Linked DNA regions of Danio rerio. The protein of the gene in region 1 purifies or fractionates together with the protein of each later gene. This does not show direct contact. Links are inferred from orthologs where the notes say so. Each region holds a gene or a part of one and is shown in the gene's direction. Other genes may lie near its edges. The genes, in order: mapk6, cep170aa, ube3a, neurl4 and eci2.

Region 1 (6,249 bases):
GCGTTCTTTTAAAGATGTTGTGGTTATTGCAGTAAATTTTAGTTTAATGTATTTAAATGAAGTAGGCTATTAATAACTGATGATTTTGCTAATTTATTATTGATTTCAGAATTTATTGTACAATAATTAAAAATATTATGGCTTCTGGCAACTGTATATATTTTGTGAATACAATTTTAATTAAAATAAATTTTAAGTAATTTCAATTTAATTATTCTAGTTGAGATCAAGTTTGAATAACTACAAACTTTTCTGATTATTTAATAATTGCAGAATTTATTGTGCAGTAATTTGAAATATTCTGGATCCTGAACACTCAAAAAATATTTTGAATGCTTATTCTAGCCACTTATTTAAAATGAACTGAACCAACTCAATTATTTAGGTTTTTTTTATCGATTTGAGTGGGGTGACATGGAAGGATTGTGTGGAACCCAGCATTATTTACAGTGTATGCTTTGGTTAGTATAAAGATTGATTTAATTAGTTTAAATTAGTTTAAATAACTGCTAATTTTACTAAATTATGTTTTAATTACTGAATTATTTATTCATTAATTTCCTTCGGCTTAGTCCCTGATTATTACAGTGAAATGAACCGCCATTACAGAATTTGTTGTGCAATAATTTCAAATATTCTGTCACATCAACATATCTTTAGTGGTTATTACATTTAATTTAAATGTAATGATTTCGAATAAATTATTAGTATAATTGATTTAATTATTAAATAAAATGTATGACTTTAATATCAATGAATGTGAATGCGGCGCGATTTACATAGCAATAAAAGAAGCGGGATGAGTGCAAGAGCGCTATGAAGTGCCCATGCGCTTCATAGAGCGGGGGATTCACAGATGGAAATAGAAGCACGCATTAATGCGCATGCGTCGCAACGCTTATTCACACTGATCTTCAACATAAGAGCTTCACTCACACACACAGCAGTCTGTAAGGAGAGCGCGCAGGTAGCGCACACAAACCTAGCCCGGAACGGTTAGGAATAAAATATACATGACACCAGCGAGAAGAGTGAGTACATGGCTTGTTTCTTTGCTTTGTATGTAAGCGTGTCTAAAGCGTAAATATGGTCGTTTTGCTGGGTTAAAGGGTTTATTTTAACGGCAAATGGGCGGCTTGATGAAATCTAGCCTCGGCACAATAACCTTCTTTGTTCAGGTAACGCGTCGAAGCGCCGTAAATGCATAAAGAAATGACTGTTAAATCGTTATAATACATTGTTTACTGATATACGAGACATTATAATACTTAAGAAGATTATTTAACTCCTAATAGCTTGTTTAATAATCCTTTGTAAGGCGAATTGGTGTATATGTGAATTCTCCCGCTGTCTTAGAAACAATGTTTGATTTATGCTTACGAACGTTTTGTAGAGTTTGTATATTCGCGGATACTCATATTTTTACTGGGTAATTAATTCAGTTTAGTTGTTTTTGAATTGTGCCAATGTTTCGTCTCTGAGCCGGTTTGGTTTTAGCTTTAGCATGTAGCCGGTAGTAAAATGGAGGACCGAAAATGGCCAATAAACCATATAAACAAGCCGATCAACTGTAAACTTTAACAGAGCAGCAACAAAAGCGAACCGCGTGTGTACAACAACGCCAAGTTATTGTTTGCGTCATTATTGCATTTTTTTCAAAGTTTTTAAGCAAGCCGCTTTAATACCTAATGAATTATTTATATATTTGTTCAGAAATAATCGTAGTAACGTTATATTTACTTTTTGTGTTTGAGATGAGTTGGTAAACCTTGTCAATAAAAGCATTTAAACATGTTTTACTGGTCAATCCATATAACGTTAAGCAACATGATGGGTTTATGTTTATTAATTAAAACGCTTTCACTTTCTCATAGTGTAAACAGGATTAATATGTGTTGATTTAATGTCACTAACGTTACTGGACTGGTTTAAGGTTTGTTGGCTCCCTCTTTTAGTTAACAAAATGGTCGGCCGGTTAGCCATCATTTCCCTCACACACTGCTGCAACGTGGCTGAATCACCAACCTTTGTTTCCACAGACCGGCCGGGTCCCGTGTTAATCCATTACATGTGTGTTATGATCACTGTGGTGCTTTTTACAGTCATGAGGTGGAGAAACGGGAACCCATGACATCAGAAAGTGTAGTGGCGACATGAGCACACACAAACACACACAGGAAACATTGCTCAAGAGGGATGCCATAACCTTGTATGATTTTTTTTTCTTTTAAATCAGTTTCATTCAAAAAGATCAGAACTGAATAAGTGTTGCATTTCATTAAACACTCATGGTCCTTAAAATTAGTATTTTCAGCTTAGATTGTTGCCCTCTATTCAGTGTCCTTTTGAGCTTAAAACAGATCAAATCCATTCTCTTTTATTTGTGTCGTTCAGAATGCACATTTATTGCTTTAGATTTAGATTTGCTATTTTGGCCTATATTACACTCCTAATCTGTTTTGTTTTTGTGCCGTTTTGCAGGGTATCCCGGTGTAAAATGGAGGATAGTTTTGATTGCGACTGCGGTGAGCTGGAGCCGCCTGATCATTGAGAAGGAAGTGTCTTGTTGAGAACATCAAACATTTCAATTTCCCATCATCAGGCATTTTAAAAAGGAACAAGGAAAAACATTACATTTGTCACCAGTTACTAGGACCGTTAATAATAATAATAATGCTGCTGCTCAGGGCCAGTCGTACACTGAAAATTTCTGCACTGTGACAATGGTTTTATTTGTAGAGACTTCAGTTATTTCAGTTTCGTTCAGAGAGATTTGATTGGCCTCCAAATTCATTCCGTTACGCCCTATTAAACATTGAAACAAATCAAATTTCCATTTTAAGTTAAGTTCCCATTAGTCTTGAAAAAGCTGCTGGAAGTGTTGTGGATGATGACCACATATCCTGGCAACATATCCTTATCAGTTCCTATCTCTCAGTATACGCTGTAACAGTAGGTCAGGGGAAAACACTCAAGTCTTACTAGGCTTGAGTGTAGTTTGAGTCAACTTTTTCTAGAAACTCCAAATTGGCTGCATATCAGTTAAAATCAGAAACACTTCCTGCTATAATATCTGCACAGAGCTGCTCTTCTAGATCACAGAATGGCAGAGAAATTTGAAAGCCTTATGAACATTCATGGCTTCGATCTGGGGCCTCGCTACATGGACCTGAAGCCACTTGGCTACGGGGGCAACGGCTTGGTGTTTTCCGCTGTTGATACCGATTGTGACAAGAGGGTTGCTGTTAAAAAGATTGTCTTGACTGACCCACAGAGTGTCAAACATGCGCTGCGTGAAATCAAAATCATCCGCAGGCTTGATCATGACAACATCGTGAAGGTGTTCGAAACTCTGGGGCCCAGTGGCCGGAGGCTCACGGAGGACGTGAGCTCTCTGACAGAGGTCAATTCAGTGTACATCGTCCAGGAGTACATGGAAACTGACCTCTGTAAAGTACTGGAACAGGGCTTGTTGTCTGAGGATCACGCACGGCTGTTCATGTACCAACTGCTCCGGGGACTCAAATACATCCACTCTGCAAACGTGCTTCATCGTGACCTGAAGCCTGCCAACCTCTTTGTCAACACTGAGGACTTGGTTCTAAAAATTGGAGACTTTGGACTCGCCCGGATCATGGACCCCCACTATTCCCATAAGGTATTTATTCTTTTGCTTTCACTTGCTAAGATTTTGCACCTTCAATGTTCTGTTTCATCGTACTGACAACCATCCAGATGGCGTCTTGTTTGGCTGAGACATGAATGAGATTTCATTTCATTCACTGATTCCTTGTATCGCAGGAAGTAAACAGTCCTTGAATTGGCACCTCCGACTTCCTGTTTGTGACGCCCTTTCCTGTATGTTAGCTTTCTGTGTGGTTGCTGTACATCCGGTTGTGTTTTAAAAGGAAGCTGATGGAAAAATATTATGACAAAATTGCACAGCTGTCCCTTTATTGACCTTCTTCTTTTACATGAGAGCGGGTGCAGCCATTAGAACCTCATTGGCTAAAGACTTCCGATCTCATTCGCGTCCATTGATTTTTAGCCATAAAAATTGCTGTTTGATGTTGCAAACTGGTATTTTTTCTTAATATATTTTTTTTTATTTATAATCATAATAAGCACGCTGGGATTTTCAGCAAGTTGTACGACCGGTTTCTGTCCTTTGTCATTCCTAGTCGTTTCCTCCATTGGCAAATTAACCAGAAGTCCTAAAACAATCACAGAAAAGAACGTACTTCCGCAATGCAGGATAAAGTGAATTGAGCCAGAGTGGAATATTTTGGAACATAGGTTGTTTTGACGTGACGTTATTGATAACGCGCAAAATTCAGAAGGAGTGCATGAAGTGATACTTTTACGTAATCGCTATCAGAACATCAAATTATTTGTTTTATGTTCCTTATAATAGTTTAAATCAGCCAAAATAAGAAATGGCGAACAGCTTTTATAGACTGCCAAAAGTTTTAACTCATAAAGCGGAGAAAGTAAACAAACTGGTTAAAAAAACAGAAGAAAATGCGGCATGTTATAAACATTTTTTTAATACATCCATGTGTACAGACTTTTTTTTTTAAGCACGATAATTCATTTGACAGCTTCAATAAAGATTATAAGCAGGCCTAGCTATGTGTATACATGTTATGTTGTATATAAATTAAATGCAAACACCACCCCACTTGTACAAAATCCAGGAGAATATACGTACCCTGCCATGTAATAGCAATGAAATTTCCATCTTCTATTGCAATAATCCATGTCTTTGCTGGCGTTTCATCAGAATTTACAATCTTAATGCTATCATCGAGATGCGCAGCAGTGGTGAATGTTTATTAATTGTAAATTTATCGACAGAACAAAAAAGAAATGCCTTTGTCTTGTAACAAAACTCTAAATTTTTTTTAATTTTAAGCACTTTTTTCCCCCTCTAATAAATATATATTGTAGACTATGCATTTACGCTTTTGTATGCTTTCATCTGTTATTTTGTGATGTCTGCAAGATATCTGCATGTTGAGAAACTATAGTAATAGTGTAGCATAGTAAACTGATAAACTGTAACGTCAGTATAAACTGTGGTGCATTGTGATTATAGCGTAGATAACTGAAGCCTATTGAATAATTTATTAATACAGTTGTGTTGTACCACAGCAACAATAATTACTACAACAGTTTAATACAAGTCATTATAGTATGCTTCCGAACACTATAGTATTCATCATAGTATTTTTTCATAAAACATAATTAACAAGCAAATACATTTTAGTTCAAGAGAAAACAAGATCATCTTCATGATATAAGGGTCATGGCCAACATATGTGCCTATTTTCTGTTTAGATGTCCTTTGACATATGGTATGTATCGCAAAAATAAGGACTGGAAAAATAAGGAAAAATGAGGACCATGTCTCCCATTCATTTTTTATTTATTTTTTTTTTACTTCCTGCCCTCCATCTGAATTTCGCACATCACCAGGACCACGTGACTGAAAACAACCTATTGGGAAATCTAAAAAAGATTGACGTTTTGTTTCCTTTTAATGTGTTTTTCCTTGTTCTTTCGTTCGTTCATTTGTTCAGTTTTGTGTGTGTGTGTGTGTGTGTGTGTGTGGATGATGTTTGGGTTGTGGCTTGGTTTAAGTGTACTCGTGTCACAAATTTGTAATCCCCTCTCCTTTGTGGGCTCACATGATCCATATGCCAGCCAGATCTGCTTTCACATATGTGCTGAGATGCCTCCTCTCGAGTCTTTGAGAGAAAAAGCACTGTTCCTACTTGATGTCTATGAATAGCTGCCGTCACTCCCCCACACATACTCTGGTCTGGGTTTCTTCTACAGGGAGCAAGAAAGCTGAGAGACCGTATCAGACTCCGGTCCTGTAATTATGAAGCTGGCTGCTCTACTGACTTGTGATAACTTGGAAAAATTTGAGAACTAAAAGTTTAAGACGAAGGGGAAAACCTTTTAGGGATGAGACTTCAAAGCTTAACACATGAAAGTGAAGTTTATGGCAGTTTAAGTAGACATGTTTAAAAGTTTTAATCCTATTTTATTCTCTAGTGTTTATTTATTTTATTTTTTTGTAGGCTTGAAAACCAATATATGCATTTTAGTTATTTAATTTAAATTCAAACAAGAAAAGTTATTTCAGTATAATTTGTTAAAGTATTATGATTCTTTGTTCTATGTACACTCACCGGCCACTTTATTAGGTACACCTAACTAGTACCGGGTTGGATCCCCCTT
Region 2 (6,249 bases), on another chromosome or scaffold:
TGTGTATGTTTCCCAGAGATGGGTTGCGGCTGGAAGGGCATCCGCTGTGTAAAAAAAACTTGCTGGATAAATTGGCGGTTCATTCCGCTGTGGTGACCCCGGATTAATAAAGGGACTAAGCCGACAAGAAAATGAATGAATGAATGAACAATGGCGTATTAATGGTCTTAAAATGCAAAATAGTTTTTTATTTTTTTCTCTTCGTAAACTACAAGACAACAGTTTTTTAAAGGTTCATTTTATTTTGTTTTATATTATTATTTTATTATGACAGGACAGTATCTAAACAGGAACAGTCACATGAAACAATGTAAAAGGATGGATGAAAGGATGATAGTCAGCCTTCAATGTCTTCTTTTGCTATGACCCATTCTGAATAAACAAACAAGGCAGTTTACATGCTTCGTCCTTGTTGCACAATAATAGATAAATCTAAACTAATTTATGTAGTTCAAACAACTCAGATTTGTAATTGAGAATGCCTGTTAACGGCCCACAAATTAAAAAATAGTCGGGTTTAAATCGGGTTCGGGCTCATAATTGCAGCGAGTGTGTCGGACTGGGTCAGCCTCGGACAAATGGTGCACAGGCTCAGGTAGGGTTGGGTTTAATTTTTTGGGCCCGATCTAAGCTCTAACAGGAAACAAACTTGAAGAGAGTGGGGGGCAATAGGTTTAGAAAAGATCTTGTGATCACCAAAGCAGAATGTCACCATACAGTATGTCGATTTTGTGGAAGTTGACATCATGTGGATGTGTCTTATTCTTGACAAGCATAAAAAATGGCAGACCACAGTACTATGTGTAGAGTTGTGTAGCATGTCATAGCAAAATGACATTGTTAAGCGTTTTTGTAGTTTTCACTGATACTTTTGACAAGGTTGTTATCTGTATCTAAAGATCCTCAGAATGCAAAGGGAAATATTTCCATTTTTGTTCATCTTTAATGTGTAAATGTTCACTATTTGTGTAGTTTGTTTGGAAAATCCAGCCATGTCGTCAGCTCTTCATGGGACTGTATCAAAGACAACATTTACATCTGTCAGTCAGACAAATAGAAACATCTTTACTTCATTTGCAGAAACTTGTGGAAGATTCGATTGCAGTCGGCAGTTCTCGCTGGGTTTCACAGTGGGCCAGTTTAGCAGCTAATCAAACACGGACAGACCCAGAGGGATCTGGAGCCGAACCACCAGCCTTCGTCCATCAAGAGAGAGGTAATTTACTTCACTTTGATCAAATATTAAATTGAGCAATGTAGTGTTAGAAGATACTATGAAAAGCAATGCATGCAGTTAAATATTTTTATATTAATGTTTTTCTGAAAATTTCAGTTGAACTGTTTTTTTTTGTTTTTGTTTTTATTAAATAAGTATAAATAATAGAAAAAATGCATATAAGTGTCAATTATAATATGTTTTTTTTTTCCAATTTCAGATGGTGAGGCGTTTGAGACCAGCATCTCCATCAAGAGCACTGGCTCTACCACTTCCAGCCAAGCTGACCGCAAACGAAGGACTCTCCCGCAGCTTCCCACCGATGAGAAAATAAAGAGATCAGAGATCGGTGAGAAGCAGGACACAGAACCACAGGAAAAAGAAAGCCACGGTGACCATAAAGGTGATGGCGAGTGCCTCAGCAATACAAACAGCAAGAGCGTTGTTTCTAGCCAATCCAAGAGCGCCCAGCAAGAAGGGAAGGCAGGAAAGTCTGTGCGCCCCCTGGGAAACGGAGAGAGACGAGCATCAGAGGATAGTCGCAGGAGACGATCAGAAGACAAGAGTAAAGGGAGTGACAGCGAGAGATCAGGGAAGCCACTGGTGAGGCAGGGCAGCTTTACCATTGAGAAGCCCAGCGGTAACGTCCCCATTGAACTGATTCCTCGGATAAACCGGCAGAACGGTGGAAGAGAACGAAGCGACTCCGTAGGCAGCATGGACACAGCAACTCTTCTCAAAGACACAGAAGCTGTCATGGCCTTCCTTGAGGCTAAACTTCGCGATGAGAAGAAGTTGGATCCAATAACCCCACCTATATGTCCCCCAGCTTGCCCTTTATCTCCTGAATCTGATATCGACACGGCCAGCACAGTCAGCCAGACAGCAGCCGACGGCGATCGTAAGGCGGTTCAGAAACGAAGATCTCTCAGTAGCCTTTACAGAGAAAAGAGCAATGCAAGCACCGCATCCAAAACCACAACCAGTGCCAGAGAACGTCTGGAGAGGAAGACCAAAACCAAAACCACAGAAAGCCGCTCTGATAGTCGGCGTTCAGTACAGACATCCTCACGTGGCCGCCAGCCATCACAAGATCTCACTGATGATGACCAGACATCCTCATTAGCCATCTCAGACATCCTATCGTCAGACCAGGAGATGTACTCCAGCCGCTCGCACACTAAAGGTCACTTCACCTCCACCGATGACCTTCTGCAGTCCAAGCTTGATACCAGCAAATCCTCAAGGTCTTCAAAGCCCAGCAAAACACCACAAACCACCACTGCAGCTCTCGCAAAACAAGCTGGGCTTCCACAGCCCCGTCCCACAAGGGCGTCCCTGTTACGCAGGGCTCGACTTGGAGACACGTCGGACACAGACCTGGCAGATGCAGACAGGGTTTCAGTGGCATCAGAGGTGTCTACCACCAGCTCCACTTCCAAACCCCCATCAGGAAGAAAGGCACAGTCACGCATTGACATGCTAGCACAACCCCGGCGCACCAGACTGGGCTCTTTTTCAGCACGGAGTGACTCTGAGGCCACGGTTAGTCGGACTACAGCGGCACGCTTGTCGGCAGAGACAGCTCTTAGGCTGGGACTAAAAAGCACAAATCAGCCAGCAACAGAAAACAAGCTAACTGCACGCATGAGGGCTAATAGTGTCTCCAAGCTAACAGACCCCAAGCCGAAGACAACCCCAGTCAACAGCACCCCATCAGGTGAGGAGGAATGGTATTGTAATATACTCATGTAAACATTTGCCTAAATGATTTGTTTTCTGCTTGCTTATCCTAGCAGTTGCCAGTTGAAGGAAGGTCATAGGTCAAAATGGCATAAAACCACAGTCACACTAGAGTTTGTGCTAGCGAAATTCGGTCGTACGGCGCTATGAAAGGTGTGGGGTAAAACAATATGATTAGACATTGTTGATAAAAGCGAGCGATTGGTCCATATTTGAAATTTCTGTATAGAGGTCACGTTTTGATCTTCTATTGGTCTAATGCAATCATGTGATGCGATTTCGCAGGTCAGAGTTCGTTCACCAAGTTTAAACTTTCAAATGCAGCAAAATTTGGAACTTGTCGCACAAGCTTACGTTTCTTGTCTGCCGCAGTCACAAACCTATAACTGGAAGTCTATGGAGTGAAAATTAAAGTGTGACCAGGGCTTGAGGCGATAAATCAAAGTATTGCATGAATGCTACGACGATAACAATTGACTTGTTGATTAGTGAGTCGATTAGATCCAGATATTTTGTTAACCATCTATAATATATAACTTATCTATGTATAATACTATGTGTGTTGTGTTTTAGTTTAGCTTTTTTATAATGGTTTGATTAAAAATACTTAAAAAAACAATCATAAAATCCTATGAAGCTATTGTTTGTTGGTTTATCCTTACATTCGTTGTTGGGCTTAAACAGTTAAAATGGCTGAAAAAAAGAAACGTGGACAAATTAGTCAATATGAATATTAAGATACCTTTAGATAATGATAGGGTGAATTTTGAAAATACCATTATGATCTGTGTAGAGTTTTATTTTTCATCATTTTATTTAATGTAAAAACACCAAAAGAAAGTTTGATCAAGTTCAGGTGAACATTATACAGAGTTTCCAGTTAGGACTGAATATACAGGCCAGACTTTTGAACATACAGTTGAAGACAGAATTATTAGCTCCCCTGTTTATTTTTTCCCCAATGTCTCTTTAACGGAGAGAAGATTTTTATCAACACATTTCTAAACATTATAGTTTTAATAACTCATTTCTAACAACTGATTTATTTTATCTTTGCCATGATGACAGTAAATAATATTTGACTAGATTTTTTAAGACACTTCTATGCAGCTTAAAGTGACATTTAAATGCTTAGCTAGGTTAGTTAGGTTAACTAGGCAGGTTAGGGTATTTAGGCAAGTTTTTGTATAATGATGGTTTGTTCTGTATACTATTGAAACAAAATTAGCTTAAAGGGCCTAATAAATTTGACCTTAAAAAACAAAAAAAACTGCTTTTATTCTAGCCGAAATAAAACAAATAAGACTTTTTCCAGAAGAAAAAATATTATCAGACATACTATGAAAATTTCTTTGCTCTGTTAAATATAATTTGGTAAATATTTAAAAAAGAAAAGAAAATCAAAGGGGGGCTAATAATTCTGACTTCAACTGTATAGTTTAAATTTTGAATGTGTAATTTTGCATAAATCTACAATTTAGAAAATATTATAGCTTTCAAAATAAATGTTTTACAGGCAATAAAAACCAGCTTAGTTTCCTACTTGTGTTAACTGGGTATATAATGAGACCTTTAGCATTCAGTAGAGTTTAGCTTGTGCAGTTTTGTGATGTTTCATGTGGACTAGACCGCTGTCATTAGTCATGTTTGTCTGTAATTGTCTGTCTCTGCATGCTTGTGATATTTATAAATTCCCATTTTGCACAGAAACTCAACTTGAGCCTGAAAGTGTTCTGGCAGAGGAGGAGCCCATGGGTACTGTACCATCTCTGGGCTCTGTGTGTGTGTGTGTGTGTGTGTTGTTGAGTTTTCATAAAGTGAAAACAGAAGAAACTCATACCCGGCATGCTTTTAAATGTCATTCTAGTCAACGTGTCAACTGCTTTTTATGTGTTCTTTTTTCTAAAAATCAAAACTCAGCAGTGGTGGAAAGGACCTCAGCCAACTTGCTTTCCCTTTAAAAGCATTTAGATATCAGGTTTTAACCACATCATCACTTCAAAATAATTAACAACCACATACGAGTAACAACATATTTATTCTGAAAAGTTTAATGTGTAAAGTTAATAGAGATGTTTGCCCTTTAATGCCACACAGTCAAAATCGGAGCAAAGTTGTCTCTCAAATGCTGATGCAAGCACAGAGCAGTAAGAAATGAGGGTCAGTTAAACACATTCCCCCTGGTGGCTTAAAGCTAAAATAACATGACGGAAAGAAAACATTATTGTACAAGTAAAAGTTTTTTAAGGGGCCTTATTTTGCATCGCCAACTTTTGAACAACCAAAACTATCGATCCAAAGTCCTTTTCATCACTTGCATTACATTTTACAGGTATCTTGTCAGAAGAGCTTTGCTGTTTGTTTTTAACAGATTTCATTTCTGCAGGGGCAATCGCAATATACTTTTGTGCTAAGGGATTTGTTTAAGCTGTTAATTTTGATAAATGTACCGATCTTTGGTCTATACCCATTCAAAACAAGGTTTCTATGGGAACTGTCATAGTATATAGTATAAAGTGCTAATTAAGACAGCGGTGTAGTGATATATGAGCTTTAAATGTACACTCTCATTGGCTACTTTTTCTAGGTACAACTTACTAACAAGAGTTTGAATCTTTTTTTTTGGCACAGTGTTTCGCAAGATCTTTTGTAGACCTCAGTCGTAGAGTCGTTTCAAGAATTACTGTGGTCTTTCAATCAGCTCAAATAAGTCTGGCTGTTCTTCTCTGACCTAAGATCATCTGTAAACACTAGAGATGGTTGTTATGGAGTCAATCTTGGGGCCATGTATACTTGCAAACTATAAGGAAGTTTTGCAAACAAAAAACAAGTATTGAGCAAAAATATAAGGCAGCACTGTGGCGCAGTGGGTAGTACAATCATTACAGCCAGAAGGTCACTGGCTCAAGCCCCGGCTGGGTCAGTTGACATTTCTGTGTGGAGTTTGCATGTTCTCACCATGTTTGCGTAAGTTTCCTCCAGGTGCTCCGGTTTCGCCAACAAGTCCAAAGACATTTAGTATAGGTGAATTGGGTAGGCTTAATTGTCCGTAATGTATGTGTGTGAATGGAAGTGTATGGATGTTTCCCAGTGATGGGTTGCAGCTGGAAGGGCATCCACTGCTTAAAACATATGCTGGATAAGTTGACGATTCATTCCGCTGTGGCGACTCCTGATTAATAAAGGGACTAAGGCGAAAAAAAAATGAATGAATGATTGAATGAGCAAAAATAAATAAATAATTGCAAATATCCAAAATTCGCTAAGCGAAAATGAATTTCTAAGAAAAA
Region 3 (6,826 bases), on another chromosome or scaffold:
TATAAATGCAATTAGAGGCTAAAAACAAGATCATTCCTTGCTTTATACTTCGTAATATACATTTAAAGAGCACCTATTTTACCCCTTTTACAAAATGTTAGACAAGCCTTTGGTGTCTCCACAATGTGTCTGTAAAGTTTCAGCTCAAAATACCCATCAGATAATTTATTAGAGCCTCCAGAATCTTCCTGTTTTGGTGTCTAAATACATAGTAGCTGTTTTTGTAGCCTGTAGCTTTTAATACAAATGATCTGCTTCTCCCTGCCCAGCGTTCCCACGTGCGTGTCTGCTTTCACATCATGCGTTATGCCAGATGAACAGCACAGTGACAGAGACAGACTCGGAAAAAGCTGAAATAAAGTCACTAGTCAAAAATATTTTCAAAGTTTATTTGATGTATTTGTGTTGGAGTTTATTCAAGCCTTTGTGAATCGATGAGTTGCACATAAATGCCATTTGCAGTACACAGATACATAAACAGATTTTAGTGTTTACTGACACGATGCGGCCGTGGTGATTATAGCGGTTAAGAATTAGATAGCGATTTTATTGTCATTATTACAAAGATGCTGTTTTAAAAACGTTTAAGACTTTTAAAACTCAATAAAAGAGAGTTGTAACAAATACTTTAATCACAGTTTATTTGCAAAAAAAAAGTTACGGGGACATGTGTATACATGTTATTATACAAACATGGCTATCAATCTGGTGGGCGGGAAAAACCGCATTCCTACATCACGTTGCGGCAGGTCTCAAAAGCACTGGAGTTTGGGTCCTATTTTAACGTCAGAAAAATGTTAAAAAGAGACTTGTTGGATTTGTACCACTCGAATAGGACAGTGGACACACTATACATAAAAATTGTTCTGTCCAGTGCTTAATTTGTGAATTGTGAGGTCCTGGAACAGATCGGGGCAACGGAGCTGTAGAGGCGTCGCGCACGCAAGTGGATAGATGGCAGGGTGTTGGATGGTGGAGGGGTGTCACAGACTTAAGTGAAGAGAGTTGGAGAGTTGGGAAGAAAGTGAACAGCGGACAGGGCAGGAGGGCGGTTAAGGAGGGGAATCAGTAAAATGAGGTGCCGGATCAGATTTCAGAGGTGCCAAGTCCGGATCCGGATCTGGTGTGTTCCGGCACAAATTAAGCCCTGGTTCTTTCCAAATAGCTTACTTTTCATCATAGGTGATATTTAAAACATATTTAAAAATAGTTTTTTAAAAATTCATAGTATAAGGGGTTGGGGGTCCATATTGCCCATGGCTAAATCCGCCGGAAAAAGCTTCTTTAGAACATTAGAATATTCTTCACACTAAGAAATAAGTGCTTTATTTAAGAACTGGACAGGTTGTTGCAAGGTATAAATATGGCATTGCTGCAATAAAGAATATAGAAACAAAAAACATTAATTTTAAGAGCGCACTGCAGTGTTTCTGCATGAATTTTGACCAGAATTGTTTCTAAAGTAAGTTGAATTATTAAATAACCATTCCTGCTGCAGAAATAGTTTTCAATAATTTGATAAATTTAGCACATTGTAAAGCAAACATATCAAAAGAGTGCAAAGCCTTACATTTTCCTCAGATTAAGAAAATTTCAAGGTACACGTTGTCCTGACATTTTATCCCATTAGATTATGCTCCCAACACTGTACTTGAATAGATGTGTCTTTGGGGAAAGGGATTAGGTGGGTTATGGTGATATTACAGCTTTACTACTCCCACTACCATTAAAATTTACGCTGGTAGCAAAATCTGATGGGTAGCATATTGTGTCATCAAAATTTGCTACCTACTTTTGAATGGGAGGTAGGACAATCTGACAAGGACAAATGAAAAAACACTGTCTTCTGTGTTTTGACATCATACCTCCCGCAGCACTCTATGCTTATAAAATAAATAATAAAATGTTACAGTTATGGCCTAGCTATCGTTTTTTTTTTTTTTACAGTCGCCACCTACTGGTGTTTTAACTCCCACCGTACAGAATCAATCGCTTAATTTCTCAGGTCAACTGACTCAAAAAATTTGAACCACTGAGATTATTCAACATCTACTATTGGTCCCAAAAGCACTGGAATGAACCTTAGATAAAACAAATCAGGTTTCTTGAATTTTTGCTTTCAGGTTCTGCCCTCTGCTGATGAAAAAAAACATAACTAGTTTCTAGTTTGAGATCTATGTGTAAATAAAAAAATCCTACTTTTTTACCAAAATTTACAACTTATTATCTGGCTCATGCATATGGTAGTGAACGTGTTAACAAGTATTTCAACACACATGTTCGGATCTTGACTGACTGCCAGAGCGCTGTGCCGTGTTTTTATACTGATGGTCGTCCTCGTGCCTCAGTGCATTGTGGGATCGCTCTCCGTGTTTGCCTCAGTTGATCAAGATGGCCGCGAATATTTTGTGGAGGGGTTGGAGTTGAATACACGCCGCACTAGAAGCGATTGTGATGTTGAGAGACCAGATTCATTCGTCAGCATCAGAACACCTCCAAAAGTAAGCTGTCAAAACCTTAATCGCGCTTCTTCTGTCCCGACCGCGCCTGGAGCACCGCGAGAAGCGCTATTAGGCCAGTTAGCCGCGCTGCTAACCCGCTCCGGGGAGGGAGGGACGGAGCTTTCTGGTAAACAAGGGAAATACCGTTAATCCCGATATCCTAAATACGTGATCGATTATAATACGCGGCAATAAGCGTTAAGTAAATTTAGCATGCGTCTCTGAAATGTTAAACTGTGGTTAGCTGCAGCTAGGCTAACTAGTTACTCAGCTCTTTCCTGCCATTGCTCCCCATGACAGTTACTGCAAGGTTATAAGATTTGCAGTTCCCGCTCTGCTTTAAATGCACCGATCATCATCATCTTCAGCGGACTTTATTAATGACTATTATGGGTGTGTTCGTTTGTTTGGATGATATCTGTAGTGCATTGACTGTGTGTGTGTGTGTGTGTGCAAAGCAGAAGTTGTTTGTGCACTGTCATACCCCCTGCCTTCCCGTCCGCGGCCTCTCCGGCTTCTGCTCCGGGTAAACCACTGTTTACCGGCACACAGGATGCTTCAGTTGCGAAAGCACACAGTTTGTTTTTAGTTCTGCGGCTGCCGTCTGTATATGTTTACGTCGCTGCCCTTTTTTTTGCAGACACACGTACTATGTCAAAAAACAGTGAGCTGACTACCCAGGCAACATTTTTAGACATCAAATACTGTCTAGGGAGTCAGCTTGCTAGGTTTTTAGACGCTGTCCATGGTGATATTTCTGCCCTGTGGTTCACTTTAGGTTTGTGCTTACCAATGTTTTTCTTACTAATTGCAGTTAATAATGTGGTAGTTTCTTTAAATGTCCCTTTCACTAGTATAATTCCCAGTGCTGCAAAAGTGAAATTATTGATGTTTTCTGTTCATCTGCAGGATTGCTACCTGACAACCTTTGGGTCTCTTTGAGTTCAGAGCCGTAGAAGAGTGTGATATTGGAAACTTTAAAGCAAGTCTAATGTAAGTGTCTTTGTTTTTACCTGACTTATACTTTTCCCTAAAGGGCTAGTTCACCCAAAATTGAAGTTTACTGTTAATTAACTTGCCCTCTAGATATTCAGAATGTGGGTGACTTTCTTTTGTAGAACTTTAGTTTTTTTTTTTTTTTAGCTCTTAAGATTATTTTTAGCTGAAACTGGGGTGTTTGGTGATTCGAAGAATTGGCTCTTTATCATACATTGATGTCATCTTTTGCTAAATTATTGCATAGCGCAGATAACTGAACATTATTAAATTATACACCACCTCTGCACAAACTCCTGAACATATTTGGCGCTAGGCATGTGCTGTTTTAAGATTCTGACGGTATGGTAACCTTGGATAAAAACATCACGGTTTGACGAAATCGTGATCACTGCTCTAAGGGTGGTGCCCAAACGAACCGTACCAAAAGGGGAAACGAACTCTAGTGCGATTCAATCGAACTAAATAAGGCAGGTGTGAAAGCACCCTAAGAAATATTCTTTTTAAATGTCTGGGTAAAAAACAAAAAACTTTTTTCATCTTTGAACACAATACATTTTATTTAGAGAAACATTTAAAGTATTTTGGAGCAGTAAACATGTGAGGGTAAATCATTCAAATATACCATAGACTTCTGCTGTCTTCATTAGTTTCAAAATCATATTTCTTTATAATTTATAATGCATTGGATATCTTTTCTGCTGGAGATACTGTTGTCCTAAAAAACCGTTAAAAAAAACCTCTCACATACCTTAGGAACGTTATAGCAGAAGGTTTGGGCGATTTTCAAACCTTGACTTTTCCAAAGCACACTATACGTTGAAAACTGTTATCATCTCATGCCTATTCGGCGCACAGTCTGGGGCACAAATGTCCTGACAAAAAATAATTTTCATATTAAACATTGGCAGTCAGTCAGTGTAAAATGTCAGTCTTCCTTATTAAGATCATGGACGTGAAGGAAATCATAATTTTTTTAATATAGGCTGCAGCATCAAAGATAATTACATGTACCATTCTTGTGAGCAATACAACACATGCCTCTTCCATTGTAAACAAATAGTGTCAGTTTGACCCAAACATGTCATTATGCAACAAAGAGCTTAAGAATGTTAACACTGCCAGGACCACAAGTAATGCTCAGATTCTTGCACAGACTGATCATCTTAAATAATCAATTGCCAGCCACAGGTATTAATTTAAGCTGCATCCGACAGCATTCTAAGGTGGGAAAATATCAGGGCACGTCCAAATCTAAATTTTGCTTCGCCTACTGTCTCAGGAGGTACCTACTTCTGATTGAATTTTGAGGGCAGTGTATGCGTCCTTCACTGCCTTCGATATCTCACAATCCTGTGCTTTACATTTCTGAGAGCTAAAAAATAAAGATGGCATCTTAAAGCTCCACTTTTCTGTCAGTTTGTGTATAAGTTAGGGCTGCGCAATATATCGTTTTAGCACAATGTGTGCATTCACAAGTCACATCACAAGATACGCAATGTTAAGTCTGAATTATAGTTGAGCAGGAACTACAGAATTGTATTTAGTCACTGTATTTATAAGGAATTTATATGATATATGCAAAAACTAACAAAAATTCTTTCTTAGTATTTTTGTCTTGTTTCTAGTTCAAATGAAAATAAAACTTTATTTCTACTTGATCTAAAAATTGTTTGATATTTGAACTAGAAACGAGACAAAGTAAGAAAAGCATTTTATTTTTTTTTCAAGATTGCTTAATTTCTGTACCTGAATACTGTTAGACTCCCCAGAAAATCATTAAAAAGAGCTATTCAAACTATCTTGTGAAACTGTATATCCCGATATTCATTGCAGAAAAATTAAATATCGCATTATCAGATTTTTCTAGTATAAATGTATGTTTTCGACTAACAGTTTCTACTTTTGATGGCATTTCTAACAAGTTAGTATTGTATTCACCAAAGCTCTATCTATTAGTTAAATTGTAATGCTGTCTCAGAAGTCTATCTGAAATCAGTTTCACAAGGTGCTTTTATGCAGAAACACCACCTCCAGATTCACTGTCTCATAAGGCATTGTAATATCCAGTCTGCTACCTAAACTTTTGGATGCTGCCATAGTTCTTCCTGTTCTTCTTCTGACCAGGGAATGTGGTTTCAGCTAAAAATCCCATTTAATAAGCAGGAGAAAGACATCACCCAAATTTGGGGTGTGTTTGAGGGCAATTATAATAATTATTGGTTAAAAAGTATTTTTTATCCATTTGGTTGGCTTATCCGTCAGTTAAAAAGTGAAGAATATTTAAAATGTAAGACACTTGGCAGTACACAGTGCCAAGCAATTAATGTTATATATTAGGGCTGGGCGATATTGCAAAAAATATAGTTATGTATCACAATATCATGTTTCATGTCATTCAGTATTGATATTTATTAAGAAATAAATTTATTAAGAAATAAATTTAGGAGTATTATGATTTTTTTTTACTTAACTACTTTATTTTAATTTAACAAAATTGCTAAAGAAAATGATTTTATCAGTCAAAAACAAAAATATTTAAACAAAATATCTGTATAATAAAATAAATGTGTAAAAAGTGTTAAAGAGACTCTTAAACTTGACAAATAAAATCTTACAAAGTGTGTAATAGTTAAGTGTAAACACTGAACAATCAAATCAAACTTTAAGGTGTCAATAATAATGATACAGTAAACCTCAAATTCTGTAAACAAAACAACATGTGCACGTCGTGCAAGTAGCACGCCTCCATTGGAAATGATAAACTTACACCCTTAGCTTGTTGGCATTCTTTCCAAGGCTGCACTCAGCAGCTACATATTAATAAAACTATAGCGATTCATACCAAAGCATTTTTTATTGTTATTGACAATAGTGTACGGTCAATAAATACCGATACCAATTTTATCGCCCAGACTTATTATATATACTTTTATAATGATGCATAAGACATCAGCATTGTGTGCTTTTGCATGACACATAACCAAGGGCTTTGTTTACTTCCATTGTGACCGTTTAAATCCATCATTATGATTTCTGTAAGTGCGTGTATGTATTATTATACTTTATTTAATTGAGGTTTGAGTCACTGATTTTGCTTGAACCTTTATTTTAAATTATCACAAATACTGACATTTGATTAACCTATCAAACCCCAATGTTTTGTGTGATGTTATATACAAATTTGCCAAATTTACTATATATATACATAAATGTGCTTTGAATGTTTTCTTTTATGGCACATTATGACAGATCAGTGCATGTTATGTTTTTGTCCATGCATAAAGCATTTTGCATGAGCAGCTGCATTATAGATGTTTCTTGATCTC
Region 4 (6,249 bases), on another chromosome or scaffold:
TGTGTAAAATGTTGCATTGCCCTTAACAGTCTCAGTGGCGCAGCTCGTAAGACGCATGTCAACATGTTTTGACACGTTCGAGCATGAACTCGGTTCGATTCCAGCGTCTGATGAACTCTTTCTTCTTTTTTCCCCCCCGCTACATATCAGATTTTGCCCACTATTTATCATGAGAAAGACAAGTAGGAATCATTAATAAGTTTGTACATCATATTTTATTTGCACATTTATTGAATGGAAATGTTTCTGATTCACGCATGCAAATTCATCTTCAGATAGTGTCTTTATAGCAATGTGCGTGCAGTAGATAGCTCAGATTACATTGGGAAAACAGGCGACCACTGCAAATTGTGCTTTAATGTTTAGCTGGTCAACTGTATGGTATGGAAACCTTATATACCTGCTGAACCCGTCTCATACAGCTGCCATTGCAAGGCTCAGACACTTTGTAGAGAGGAATTTAACACAACTGCCTCTAGGAGTCGCCAATGGAAATAAAACAGACACGCACAAAAAATGTGCGTACGCCAGCCAGAAAGCTGCCGTGAAGCTGCGCACATTCCCACATTCAGTTCATTGTTAGTAAATCCAAACGTGAGCGATTCTGAGCGTGAAACCTGGCGTACGCAAAGTTTTTGTGCGTACGCAGCGTTGATACATGAGGCCCCTGGACTACAGGGGGGTGGGGGGGTAGTTTTATTATATGAAATATATGTCCTTCATTTCAGCCTATATGTTTTGTAAATAAAAACAAATACTGACTGACATTTTTGTCCTTAGGTGAACTCTTGGAGCGGCTCTATAGAAATCGGTGTGACGGCGCTGGACCCAGCCGGTCTGGAATTTCCCAGCAGCGCCACAGGGCTGAAAGGTGGCTCGTGGATTGTGTCTGGCTGCTCGGTGCTGAAGGATGGCCGTTCGGTCCTGGAGGAGTACGGTCGGGATCTTGACCAGCTTGGGGAAGGAGACCGTGTGGGCATCCAGCGGAATGGGAAAGGAGAGCTACACCTGTGGGTGAATGGGCAGGACTGCGGCGCTGCTGCTAGTGGACTTCCATCTCGACTGTGGGCTGTGGTGGACCTCTATGGGAAGTGCACACAAGTGACTGTGGTGTCCTGTGAACCGCCATCTGAAATGGAGGGTGACGAGGATGAAGAGGTGGAGGATGAGATTGTGTCGACGCAGGCAGTGTCCATTATGGCAGATGCCTGTCGTAGTCATGATGATAGAGCTGCTGTACTGACTGCAGCTGCTGCTACTACAGAGCGGATGAACGGATCAGCGGAGGAAGGTAAAACTAGACCACACTGTACAGAATGATAGAGATGATGTAACATTACATCTGGTATGTAAAGCTATTAAAAAAAGGAAGAGACCATTGAGAAAGTCTCAGTTTTTTTTTGGATTTATAATTTAAAGTTTTTTGTTTGAGTAAAACAAAGGGCCCTATCTTACACTCGGCTCAATGAGGCACAAGACGTGTTTGGCGCGATTTTCAGACTAGCGCAACCCTAAATTTCATGTTTTGCAGCACATTGTTTAAATGGCTAATCCATTTGTGCCACTTTGTGGACTCATGGTTGTGTTGGTCTATAAAGGAGGTGTGTTAAGGCGCATTGTTGACACGTTGCTATTTTTAAGAACTGAAACAGATCACGCCACTAACCAACTAAAAGCTGGTCTAAAGTCGAGTGCAGAGAGTGTTTATTAAACGCGTGTGTAGGTTCAAATGCTTACACGTTGCTTAATGCACACAGGATGGAAAGCAATACACAAATATCTTTACATATGAAAAATTAGAATAGAATAAAAGAATTAAAATTTTACAAAAATTATTATTGAATACATGGATATAAAAACACTACCTCCATGCCTTCTTCATCCCTCCATGCCTTTTTCTATATGCCAGTTTGCAATTGTATAATGTTTTTATTATTAAAAGTATTATTTATTATATTCATATTTATATTAGTTTTAATAAAAACAAGTTTAGATTTGATCTCCTGTCAGGTTTTGGAGATGTATGCCTTGTTTACCTAATTAACCTAGTTAAGCCTTTAAATGTCACTTTAAGCTGTATAGAAGTGTCTTGAAAAACATGTAGTATAATATTATTTACTGACATCATGGCAAAGATAAAATAAATCAGTTATAAGAAATGAGTTATTAAAACTATTATGTTTAGAAATGTGTTGGAACAAACTTCTCTCCGTTAAACAGAAACTAGGGAAAAAATACACAGGGGGGGCTAATAATTCTGACTTCAACTGTACATAAGTACACCCCTTACAAATCTATCTTTTAAATTCATATGTTTAATTGGAAGCTATACAACATTATATTTGTGCATATACATTAGATTAGTCAGTATTGAAGCCAAATCTGGAGCTTATCTAACAAAATAACATACGATAATGACCCCAAAAGCAGTACACCCAAATTCATATGTTATAGAAAAATATTAAATACAAATTTAAAAACGAGGAAAAATCAAGAGAAGCAAAAAAAAAATAATAAAAAATTGTAGGTTGTAATTTTTTTGCAATATTTTGCTTGAATTTAAGTGTTTGGTGACTTAAATATAATTTTAATAAATGTATCTGTTTAATAAATGTTTTGTTCAAATGCACCAAAATACATTGCCTATATTCACTGAGAAATGAAGAAAAATATTCTTTTTCTAAATGGGGTGTACTCAATTATGCTGAGCACTGTATGTCTAATAGCAAGAGAAACTGAAAAATGTCAAGTGGTGTCTAAATGTTTTTTCCATAGCTGTATATTTAATATTTATTTAACAATTCTTTATGAGAAAACTTAAATAGCTCTGTGTAATAATGTCTTGTATATAAATAATTTGGCTGAACCGCTTATTACTTTTAAAAGACTTTTATTTATCATGTACACTTTCAATATTTGACTGTCTCAATTTTAATATTTTTCCCCCTTTTCTCATTAGTGCCTGAAGTGTCAAGGACGCACAGTCGGCCGGACAAATTTCCAAATAACTTTGAGCCTGATAGTGGTATGTCACATTAAAATGGATTCTTATTTATAAATCATCAATAATCTTCAATGTCATTGTGTTTCACTGTATTTTGTGCTCTATCTTTTTCTCTTTCATAGTTTTGACTGAGCATCAGTTGTTTGATGTGTTCAACAATGCCATTGTGTCTCTGTATCGCTCGGAGGATGACGGGGCAGAGGATTTGAATGTTGGGGGTGGAGGTGGCGGTTCTGACTCCTCAAGGGGCGGCACAGGAAGTAACGGTGGAGGCAGAGGAACAGGAAGTGACAGTGGCATTGGCGGCGGAGGTGGTGGTGGAGGCAGTAGCAGCAATAGCAGCCCGGCGGGCAACGCTGGTGGGGCAGCAGGACTAGGGGTGGGCACTGGTGGAATGACGACCAATGATGCACTGCTGTTTCATGAGAAATGTGGGACGCTGATCAAACTGAGCAACAATAATAAGACAGCAGAAAGAAGGAGACCGCTGGATGAGTTCAATAATGGAGTCGTCATGACCAATCGACCACTCAGGCACAACGAAATGTTTGAGGTATGACTTGTTACATTCAGACAGGTGTAAGTTGTAATGTTTACTAGAATTGTTAGTGCAGACAACTTTATATAATTAAATGTGTCAAATAATTCTTAAAGTGCACCTATGATGAAAATCATCTTTTGTAAGCTGTTTGGACAGAACTGTGTGTATGTATAGTGTGTCCACAGTCATATTGGGGTGATAGAAACACAAGTCTCTTTTTTCTTTGACGTTAAAATAGGATCCAATTCCTTAATATTTTGAGGCTGATTGCAACGTGATGTACTGTAAGAGTGCTGTTCCTCATCCAACGTATTGATTTACAGCAGTGTATTAACATGTCTTCATATTAACGTGTATAATCATATCAACAGGACAGGACTTGCGCAAAGAAACCGTGATTAAAAGATCTGTTCAGCTCTCTCTGATCATCAATCATAATCAAATGTGATCAAGAATGATTTTACAAGTTTAAAACAAAAAAAAAAAAAAGTATTGTATTGAATTACAGCGATTTTACCATCTTTACTTTATCACCACTGCCGCGTGTTCGTACAATTATAAAAGAAGATGCTTTAATCCGGGTTTGTGGATGTTAAATCAGGTTTATTTTGTACATTAACCTAAGGGATATCCATACAGCATTGGATATTATCCTGTATCCTGTCACATTTGCAAGCAAAATCAGTGTTTAGTTAATTGCGTGCATGCTGTGTGTCCGTTGTGTGTGTGTCTGTGTGTATGTGCGTGAACTTTGTAATGACATTGTTTGTGACTAATCTTCACAAAGAGGTTTGAGTAAACTCCACAACAAATACATCAAATAATCATTGTGAGTTCTTACTGTAGTATTTTACACAAACGTTACGTGAGATCTGCTTCCTTCTGGTCTGTCACTGTGCTGTTTATCTGGAGCAGCGGAGGCGGAGATTTAGGGCCTACTCACACTATGCCATCCGTACCATGCCCAGGCCCGTTTCCCGGATCGTTTGAGAAGTGTGAGTGCGCTGAATCGGGCTCAAGCACGGTTCACTGGGCCGGCCCTGGCCCGGTTGGAAGAGGTGTGCCTGAGCGCGGTTCACTTGGGCTTTGGCACGGTACGCTTGTGTGTGAGTGCAAAACGCGCCAAAGCCCGAAACTGAAAGCGAGACGTGACTTTTAAGAGGCTGTTTCATATGGATTTATTAATCATTCTTACTGTTCAGTGAACACAAACTGCCGTAGTTTATTGAAGACGAGAACTCCTCACAGCACGACAGTTGCGTGCCTTCAGCAGACCTCCTCATTCCTGCAGCAAGAGAGCATTATGATTGTTTATGAGCGCCAAAAGTAGCGGATCTGTTGACTACTATTTGACTGCATGTCACTGCATATCAAACCGACTGACTAGATAAATCTCCACTGTGCTGCTGAGTGAGAGGGCTTCTCACTGAACAGCGCAGCAGCTATGACGTAAGCGTGCCGAGGCCCATTTGTGGTGTGAGTGCGGGCCGTCGGGGGAGACGGGAGGGGGGACAAGCGTGCTTTGGCCCGGTTCGAGGCAACTGTACCTAGTGTGAGTACGGCCTTAGACACACTCTGACAGGCACGTGGGAATGGTGGGCGGGGATAACTACTATTAAAGGCATGGGCAACAAAAACAGCTACGCTGTGTTCAGAGCAGAAAATTTCAATATTCTGAAAGCTTTAATAAATAATGTGATTGTTGTTTTGAGTTGAAACTTTACAGACAGATTCTGGAGACACAAAAGACTTTTCTTAAATTTTGAAAACGGGGTAAAATAGGTGCCCTTTAATGTAATGTGAAGGATTTGGCCTTAAATGGATAGGTCAGACAAAAAAAAAAATAGTAAAAGAAAAGTTAAATTATTCACCCTCAGGCTGTATGTGCAAGATTTAGTTGACTTGTACCTTCAGAAGAACATTTAAAGATGGTTTAAAACTGAATTGGTGGTCTTTTGTGACTCGTAAAATGCAAATCAATAGCTACCAGCATTTTGAAAGTGATTAAAATATATATACAGTCAAAACACAATTAATACCTGAGGCTCCTGATGATGTTGAGGGTTTAGGCAAAACAATAAGTCCACAATAAGAAGCAATGAGAAACTGCACCTTTATAGGTAATAATTTTGTAAATAATTACTTTTTTATTTAGTTATCAGCCAAAAGAATTAAACATCTTAATTTTTAGTTGAAGTTGTTGAACTAATTTTTTAAACAAAGTAAATGTTTAATTTTGCAATGTTTTATTAGGATTATTTGGTAATCACCATTAATTGAAATTATACTTGTATAGTATATTTGATCTGCAGTATTTTCTCATTTAAGTGTTTAAGTATTTATGACAAACATCTCCTTTAAGTTAAGGACAAATGCCTTCAAATTTATTTTGTATGTTTTATATGTATGTGAAATGTATAAGTAAATTTAGTTCTGATGTATTTATTACGTTTTTTTTTTTCAGATTCGCATTGACAAACTGGTGGATAAATGGTCTGGTTCCATTGAGATTGGAGTGACAACCCACAACCCAAATAATCTTGATTACCCCGCAACAATGACCAATTTGCGCTCAGGTACACACATTGTAATTTAGTCATATATAATCAAATCACAATTGTTTACAGAACTTTCACAATGTACACTACCGGTCAAAAGTTTGGGGTCAGTAGGATTTTTAAATGTTTTAAAATAAGCCTCTCCT
Region 5 (7,033 bases), on another chromosome or scaffold:
ATTGGCTGCTAATATGATTTTACTATTTAAAATTTAGAAAACTTTTCTGAAGTGACATTATCAAGAAGAAAATCTAAATGTGTGAATACAAAAACCAACCATTTTGAGGGATATAAACAATAACAATGGTACTAATGTTTCCTGCTTTACATTTTCAACTTCTAAGAATACAAAAATGTTGATAATTAATTCTATGATAGCTGTTTTAACGTAAAGATATAATTCAATTGCTTCTTGTTACAGTTATGTAACATAATGATAACAAGCCGGATATGTTCATCACCACATTGAAATAGTCTAAATACCTCAAAATCCTTGTAAGAGTGTGCTTTCATCTACAGTAAAACCACTATAAAGACAACAATAGAAAAACATAAAGACATACAAAGAGTACAGATGTAAACGCTGTATAAATGTTTTCTTCTAAAGTGAGGATTTTTTCTCAGACTCCAGTGTGTAGGTACAGAAATTTCACTTTCATGGTGATTAAATTATTAAATTAAATTATTTTCATTCCATAACTAAACATAAACAGGAGGCTGAGGAAAAACTGATAATTTTAGAAGAAAATGTTAAACAGCACATGGAGGCTTTAGCATCTGTATTCTTTAAATATTCACAAATAACATCATATACACGTTGCATATATTTTATAGGTCATTTTCTATATATGAGCAATCCCAGCATTATGAATGTAATAATTGCAGTAAAAACTGAAAACATAATTCACAGAGAAAGTATGTGTTTAATTATATTGAAACATGTTCATATTTTCCTGAGCAATTAACCACAGGGTTATGGGATCAGAAAAATGTCAATCTATAAAACTTTTTTTATACGTTAAATGAGCATCCAATATGGATGTGACCAAAAATGTCTGCAAGTTAACAGTATACAACACACTTTGTAGAAATTCTGGATTTTGTGGAAATTTTGAATGTGAACTTGTCACTTAGATGACTTTGGTAAATCAAATATAATTGTTTGAAAACAAAGACAGACATTTTTGAGCATTTTTACAATACTATAAAATACAAGCCTACTCAAAAATCCCTGAAAGGGTTTCGCTATTTTAGTAAAAATTTATTTTTTTCACAGCAAGGTTGACATTTGCTTGGAATTGCTCATATCAAACTAAAATCTAAATAATGCAAATTAAGAAAAACAATAACCTATCTATCTATCTATCTATCTATCTATCTATCTATCTATCTATCTATCTATCTATCTATCTTGCAATTGGAAATATAAATGTCAAAATTAAGTGAGTTTCTTCCTTAAAACAAGCTAAACAGTTTGCTTTTGGCAGATTATTTTGCTTGTTTTAGTAAAAAGCTCACATAAAATATATATATATATATTATTTCTAAAAACAAGATCATTTTTGCTTATGTAAAAAATGTTTCTTAATTTAACAATATTTTAAAGATATTCGGACTAGAAACATGACATTAACTCAAAAAAGAGCATTTCTTGCAGTCTATCTAGGAGACATACGTGACCGTTAACAGGTTTCAACCACAACTAATAACACAATGTCAAAATATTAATAAAATATAAAACAATATTTAGCAATCAGTCTTTCTGACAATATATAGCAATTGGTGTACTTGCAAGCAGCTGCGACGGCCGATCCTCAGAGAGAGTCTGCTTCCACTGCAGTCAAAATACTGAAGACGACGACAGGAAATAAGCGAGTAACGAATATGCTTTAAAGAAATATTAAAATTAAGTAAATAATTAACAAAAAAAAGCTAAATAACACACACAAAAATGCTGCAACCATCTTGACTTTAGCCGAGAGTATGACGCTTTGCGATTCGAACGTGTTCTATTTCGGCCGTCAAAATTCTTGGAATGCGTGACGTCAAACAACGGTTCTGCGCTCTTAAAGTGACCAAGTTAATTACAATTTGCGAACTCATTAACTTTTTGTTTTCTGTTATGTTGTCGTGTTAATAGTTTACACAATTATGTGCTTGTGAATAGCATTCGGGGTGTCAATAAATGTGAAATTAAATTAAAAAGTGGATCACACAGCAAGTTGCACAAAAGCAAATGTATCCTCTTTGTAGAAAGCCATAGAGAATACACATAACAGAAATAAACAAATAACATATGCAAATAGTAAACACTGTCAGCGACAAATACAATTTGAGTATAAATATATTAGTTGCAGAATTTAGAAAACTGTATGAAAACCACACAGCGAAATATTTTTTTTCAGAAGTATGCAGAAGGACTTACTTGGTATTTCGGCGCCAGCCCGCTAATCATGGTGGGCGCGTGCGTGTAAAGGCTTTTGTCTCGTTTGTCTACGCTTGAACAACTAAAAGAACGCTGAAGTCTGTTTAACTGATTATATTTTAATGACATTACAACATCGATGCTGTAAAAGAAGCCTTATGAAGTTGAAAAAAGACACATTAGCTCTTCACCTGAGGTTAATCATTATAGTCTATACAGAAAACAGGACATCGTAGCTCAGCATCTTCAAAAACTACACTTAATTTATGTATAAGCTAACTTCACAAGAAAAATGCATACATTTATTGAATAATATTTGTCCTTGTCTTGTTTCAAAAAATTAGGACAACCAAATAAGGTATACTTATATAATAAAGACTGAATAGCAAGTGTAAAATTTAAAATAGCGCGTTTAAAATACAAATATCCTTCCAGAATATATTAGTATCGTAGACTGTGGTAAATATACACAAAGCGATTTTTCGTGTCAGCAGTAGGGGGAGCTGGAGAGACGTCACGGCAGGAGAACAACAGAGGAGAGGTAACGTTAGATTTTCTCTCCAGATATCCATAAACAAAGACATCAGTTTAATCTGACTCCTCCAACATTGCTTTTCAGTGTCTTTAAGGAAATACAGGATTAGCGAAATAAAACTTCAAAATCAAGAAAAATTAAAACACCAGGAGACGGGCTTTATTCATCAGGTGTCTTGATATCGTGAGTCATTTTTTCTTTCTCATTGTTTATTATTTAACAATAGTAAATAATTATTTAACGTTAATACTGTAGTGTTTGAGGTGATTAAAATGCTGCTAATGTTTGAAATACCACATACAATATTCAGCTGAAAAGCCTAGTCTTTGAAGATCAGCAAGAAAGTTTATATGGGTGGAAAATACATTTATTCCCTTCAACAAAGTCACAATATCGGCTATTTAAAGTTATTTTATATAAACAGAAATCATCATAACAGCATGTAAAGTGTCCACGGTTAAATTAACCGTTGGTGAACATAAAATAGCGTTTGTTTTGATGATGTGATAAAATAAAATGTTGATAAATCAGTGTGTAAAATCGAAACAGTTATTGTGGTCTGATTTAATAAGATTAATAAAATAAGAGGTCTTCATACTAAACTGTACTTTAAAAAAACTTAATGGTTTGAATAAATACTGGCAAAGTTTAAAGATTTAAAATGTCTGAAACCGTTGTTTATTTGCTGACTAAACTATTAATAAACTGAATGTCCATCATTTCAAAATGTAATTTAGTCATATTTATTTGCTCTGGGGAAAACAACTAAACGTAAACAAAATATAAAGCTGTTTTGTGGTTTCTGATAAGTGTTATTCAGTATATTGACAAAATTTGCACTAATTATGTGACATTTCAAGCAGCTCCATACTTTTTAGAAAAAATGCCAAGTAATTTTTAAAATGTGTACTTTTACTTTCCCTTGAGTTCATTTTTAGTGCAGTATCTGTACTTTTACTCCACTATTTTCCTTCAACCTGCAGTCACTACTTCATTATTTCTTGTCTATGGAGAATAGATAAATCAGTCCTGTGATTCCCGTCACACATATGGAGTAAATCGCATCATAATGTATTACCTCAAGATATATGCGCTTTACCATTGCAGCAAACTGTTTGGAAGCATTAATAACTAATTAATATCCGTCAATGTCAAATCTAAAATCAACCTCTGATGATGTTACAGCTTGACTTTGTGTGGACGTTACCACTATGACGTCTATCAGGCATTGGATTTTGATTGTCATACCTTACGAATAAATGTCAGTATTTGAGGTCAATATGACTTTGGTTTAAGATGTTGGCTAATATTAACGTCGTATGATGTTGTGTGCCTGCTGGGCAATAACTAAATGTAAATGCATCTGCTTTTCACAGTGTAATACTCACTAAAGTACTTTTGCAAGCTCTACTTTTTACTCAAACTCTGAGTAATGTTTACAACAGATACATTTTCTCTAATATTTTTAGGCAAGCAATGGTACTTTTACTTAAATATGATTTTTCAATACTCTTTCCACAACTGCTCATATCACAGCTTGTCAAGAATCACTGGCTATGACAGCCAAAGTGATGCATATCGTAGAGGTGAGACACTTATATTCAAGCAAGCATTTAATTGGACAGAAAATCTGCTAAATATTTCTTCTAAATGAATATTTTGCCATTGTTTAGCAGCACACTAGCATTCAAATAATCTTAAAACTAACATTCTTATTATAAATGATAAGAAAATTGACCGATTGATCTCATGGACACTTAAAAAAAGACCTGAGGAATAATTTTGAATACATTGTCTGAGGACTCTTATTATTTGTTGCTGACTAATGCTGTTTTTGTGTCTCTTTTGAAAATACTCACCTTCATCTACGTGCACAAATAAGTGGGTTAATATAAACATTGACAGTGATTTTCTACGAAAGAATACCTCTGTGATAGTATTGCTTTATAATGCGAAGAAAGACCTCTTACATGTCAAAAGATCACGGAATATATGAACACCCTGTGATATGTGCAACAGGTAAATCCAAAGCACATCATCTGGTCAGAGGGATTCTTCAGGTTCAGTCCTTGGTCCCCTCTTCTTTTTTATTTACACCAAACAGTTGCTCCTACCATGATGATCCTGATGACATATGATTTGTATTTTTACTTACTAGATGAGCCGATGGTAGCTGCACAGATCTCAGACTGCCTGAAGCACATCTCAGCATTGACGAATCCTGCCAAAGACTGAGCTCCTCATCTTCCCTGAAGTTTCCAGTGTTCTTCAAAAGCATAAATGTGTTCAACAGAAGAAAGTCAAACTGGATTGGAACAAGTGGAGGGTGAGATTTCTTTTTTTTTTTTTTTTGGTTGGGGGGGCGAACAATGCATTTAATAGGTTTAACAAAGGTAGAATATCCTTGCTGTTTGCACATACGACATGAAAGATGGAGTGGTGGAAACATTTGTTCTGAATAAATATACCACAAATGTAAACAAACATTTTATCTGAAGTTGGAGTAAATATTAAAAGTATAGCCTGCTTTCTGAAACTAATTTAAGAACCAAGCAATCATATCAAACACTTTTCTTAACTTCTGAAAACATGCATTAGAGTTGCATTTGTGTTTCTCGTGATCTGTCCAGGAGATGTCAGCATTGCTTACTTTTTTAGATGGATATGTAAAGATCAAGCTGTTTTGGGGACTCTCAAATTGGATTTGGGAGCAAATATTTTGCTTGAAGATCCATCTGTTCATCTATTTTTAAATGGATATCAATTATCTGATTATTATTGTTACACACTGTTGCAGTAATTGATTATTTCAGAGTGATGGCAAGCTTTTTTAGCCCAAAATATTCCCATGTTTAGGTGTTGTATATGCACTGTTGCTAGTAGCTTTATAATAGTAATCTATTCTGTCAGAAATTGACTTTAGTATTGGATCATTTCAGCATTTTAACATTTTTGCTAATTATTTTTTTGCAACACACACTAAAATGATACAAACAAAAAAGTCATGGCAACCAATAGTTTTATGTAACTTTGATATAATAATTAATAAGTCATTTTAACTTTAAGGCAGCAACATTTTGAAAGTGTACTTTATAGTACAAACTCCACATTAATTAGAAATATTAACTGTAAACTAGGAATGCAAAGTATGCAAAAGTCAGATCTGCATTTCCTGAAATATACTCCTTTATTTGATAAAATACACTCTTATCCCACATATATTATACTATATAGCAAGCCATAGTAGGCTAAAATATTAAATGTGTCATTTTAATGGCATTTTCACTCGTACAAACTGATTTAGAGTTATCTATTTTTTACAAAAACAACACAGTAACTGATAATTTTAACATATTTTTATTTTTGACATTTTAATGTAATATTTAAAGTGAAATATGAGCTTAGATTGCAATTTACTTACTAAAATATACCCCTCTCAATGACAAACATCCCAAACTAATCAGAGTGGATTATTTTAAATAATAAAAAATATGAAATGACAAACTGCTGTATTTTATTTTAAAGTAAAACAGATAACTAAAATGTAATTCTTACTAGTAAAATCCAACTAATGTTGGGAACATTTTAAGCCTGAATGGTTTGCCCTATAGCATAATATATGTGAGATGAATAGGAGAGACTGTAGTGTGTCTAGCTTGCTGATAGGGTTTGTGTAAACAACTTAAAAAGAGCCGTAAATATGAGATGAAGTCAAATATATGGTTCATTTGGAAACATGAATCTGTGCCAGCCTTCCACCATGCTCATGATACCACTTAATGGTACATTTAAAACAAAGTCTTATAAATATTTATGCATAGGAGCTATACGTATTTTAACCACATATTAAAGTTTGAATTCTATCTAAGCATGACTATAGTTGGTTTAAACAAACGAGACGAGCAGATTCCAGGTCTGTTTCCAGAGCCTTATTGGGACTGCAGTGATTCCTGCATGCTTCCACAGTGAGTTAATGAAACTGGAGCATCTTTTAAAGGATCCCTATTATGCAAAAAACACTTTTATAAGGGGTTTAGGCACAGTTATGTGGCAACAGTATGTGAATATAGCCAGCACCTAATGGTAAAATGAATTCATTCTATTTTTTATAATCAGATTTGATTAAAACAGACAGCAGAAATGCTTTAATTGGCATTCTCCATTCGTACGTGCCATCAGACGGTGAAAGCCCCACTCATTTGTCAGGATCTCTCCCTCATTAGCATAAACAGCCCTGACTGAAAAGCAGCC

The links.
Region 2: the proteins of mapk6 (region 1) and cep170aa purify together in Homo sapiens (affinity purification with mass spectrometry; 3 studies listed by BioGRID and IntAct, with this or other methods). This does not show direct contact. The link is inferred for Danio rerio from reciprocal best matches to the Homo sapiens genes MAPK6 and CEP170.
Region 3: the proteins of mapk6 (region 1) and ube3a purify together in Homo sapiens (affinity purification with mass spectrometry; 3 studies listed by BioGRID and IntAct, with this or other methods). This does not show direct contact. The link is inferred for Danio rerio from reciprocal best matches to the Homo sapiens genes MAPK6 and UBE3A.
Region 4: the proteins of mapk6 (region 1) and neurl4 purify together in Homo sapiens (affinity purification with mass spectrometry; 6 studies listed by BioGRID and IntAct, counting the BioPlex papers as one, with this or other methods). This does not show direct contact. The link is inferred for Danio rerio from reciprocal best matches to the Homo sapiens genes MAPK6 and NEURL4.
Region 5: the proteins of mapk6 (region 1) and eci2 purify together in Homo sapiens (affinity purification with mass spectrometry; 3 studies listed by BioGRID and IntAct, with this or other methods). This does not show direct contact. The link is inferred for Danio rerio from reciprocal best matches to the Homo sapiens genes MAPK6 and ECI2.

The regions. Positions count from the first base shown.
Region 1 is NC_133193.1:42,124,876-42,131,124, reverse strand, and holds part of mapk6 (mitogen-activated protein kinase 6), read left to right. Parts: intron 1-945; exon of another isoform or gene 946-1,031; intron 1,032-2,481; 5' UTR 2,482-3,103; coding exon 3,104-3,658; intron 3,659-6,249. UniProt on the Homo sapiens protein: Atypical MAPK protein. Phosphorylates microtubule-associated protein 2 (MAP2) and MAPKAPK5.
Region 2 is NC_133188.1:11,431,413-11,437,661, reverse strand, and holds part of cep170aa (centrosomal protein of 170 kDa), read left to right. Parts: intron 1-1,080; coding exon 1,081-1,216; intron 1,217-1,436; coding exon 1,437-2,936; intron 2,937-4,666; coding exon 4,667-4,714; intron 4,715-6,249.
Region 3 is NC_133181.1:41,320,153-41,326,978, forward strand, and holds the start of ube3a (ubiquitin-protein ligase E3A), read left to right. Parts: upstream 1-2,346; 5' UTR 2,347-2,501; intron 2,502-3,410; 5' UTR 3,411-3,492; coding exon of another isoform or gene 3,493-3,494; intron 3,495-6,826. UniProt on the Homo sapiens protein: E3 ubiquitin-protein ligase which accepts ubiquitin from an E2 ubiquitin-conjugating enzyme in the form of a thioester and transfers it to its substrates.
Region 4 is NC_133187.1:24,222,929-24,229,177, reverse strand, and holds part of neurl4 (neuralized-like protein 4), read left to right. Parts: intron 1-780; coding exon 781-1,291; intron 1,292-2,959; coding exon 2,960-3,025; intron 3,026-3,126; coding exon 3,127-3,557; intron 3,558-6,009; coding exon 6,010-6,121; intron 6,122-6,249. UniProt on the Homo sapiens protein: Promotes CCP110 ubiquitination and proteasome-dependent degradation. By counteracting accumulation of CP110, maintains normal centriolar homeostasis and preventing formation of ectopic microtubular organizing centers.
Region 5 is NC_133199.1:3,106,577-3,113,609, forward strand, and holds the start of eci2 (enoyl-CoA delta isomerase 2), read left to right. Parts: upstream 1-2,736; 5' UTR 2,737-2,965; intron 2,966-4,940; 5' UTR 4,941-5,108; intron 5,109-7,033. UniProt on the Homo sapiens protein: Able to isomerize both 3-cis and 3-trans double bonds into the 2-trans form in a range of enoyl-CoA species. Has a preference for 3-trans substrates.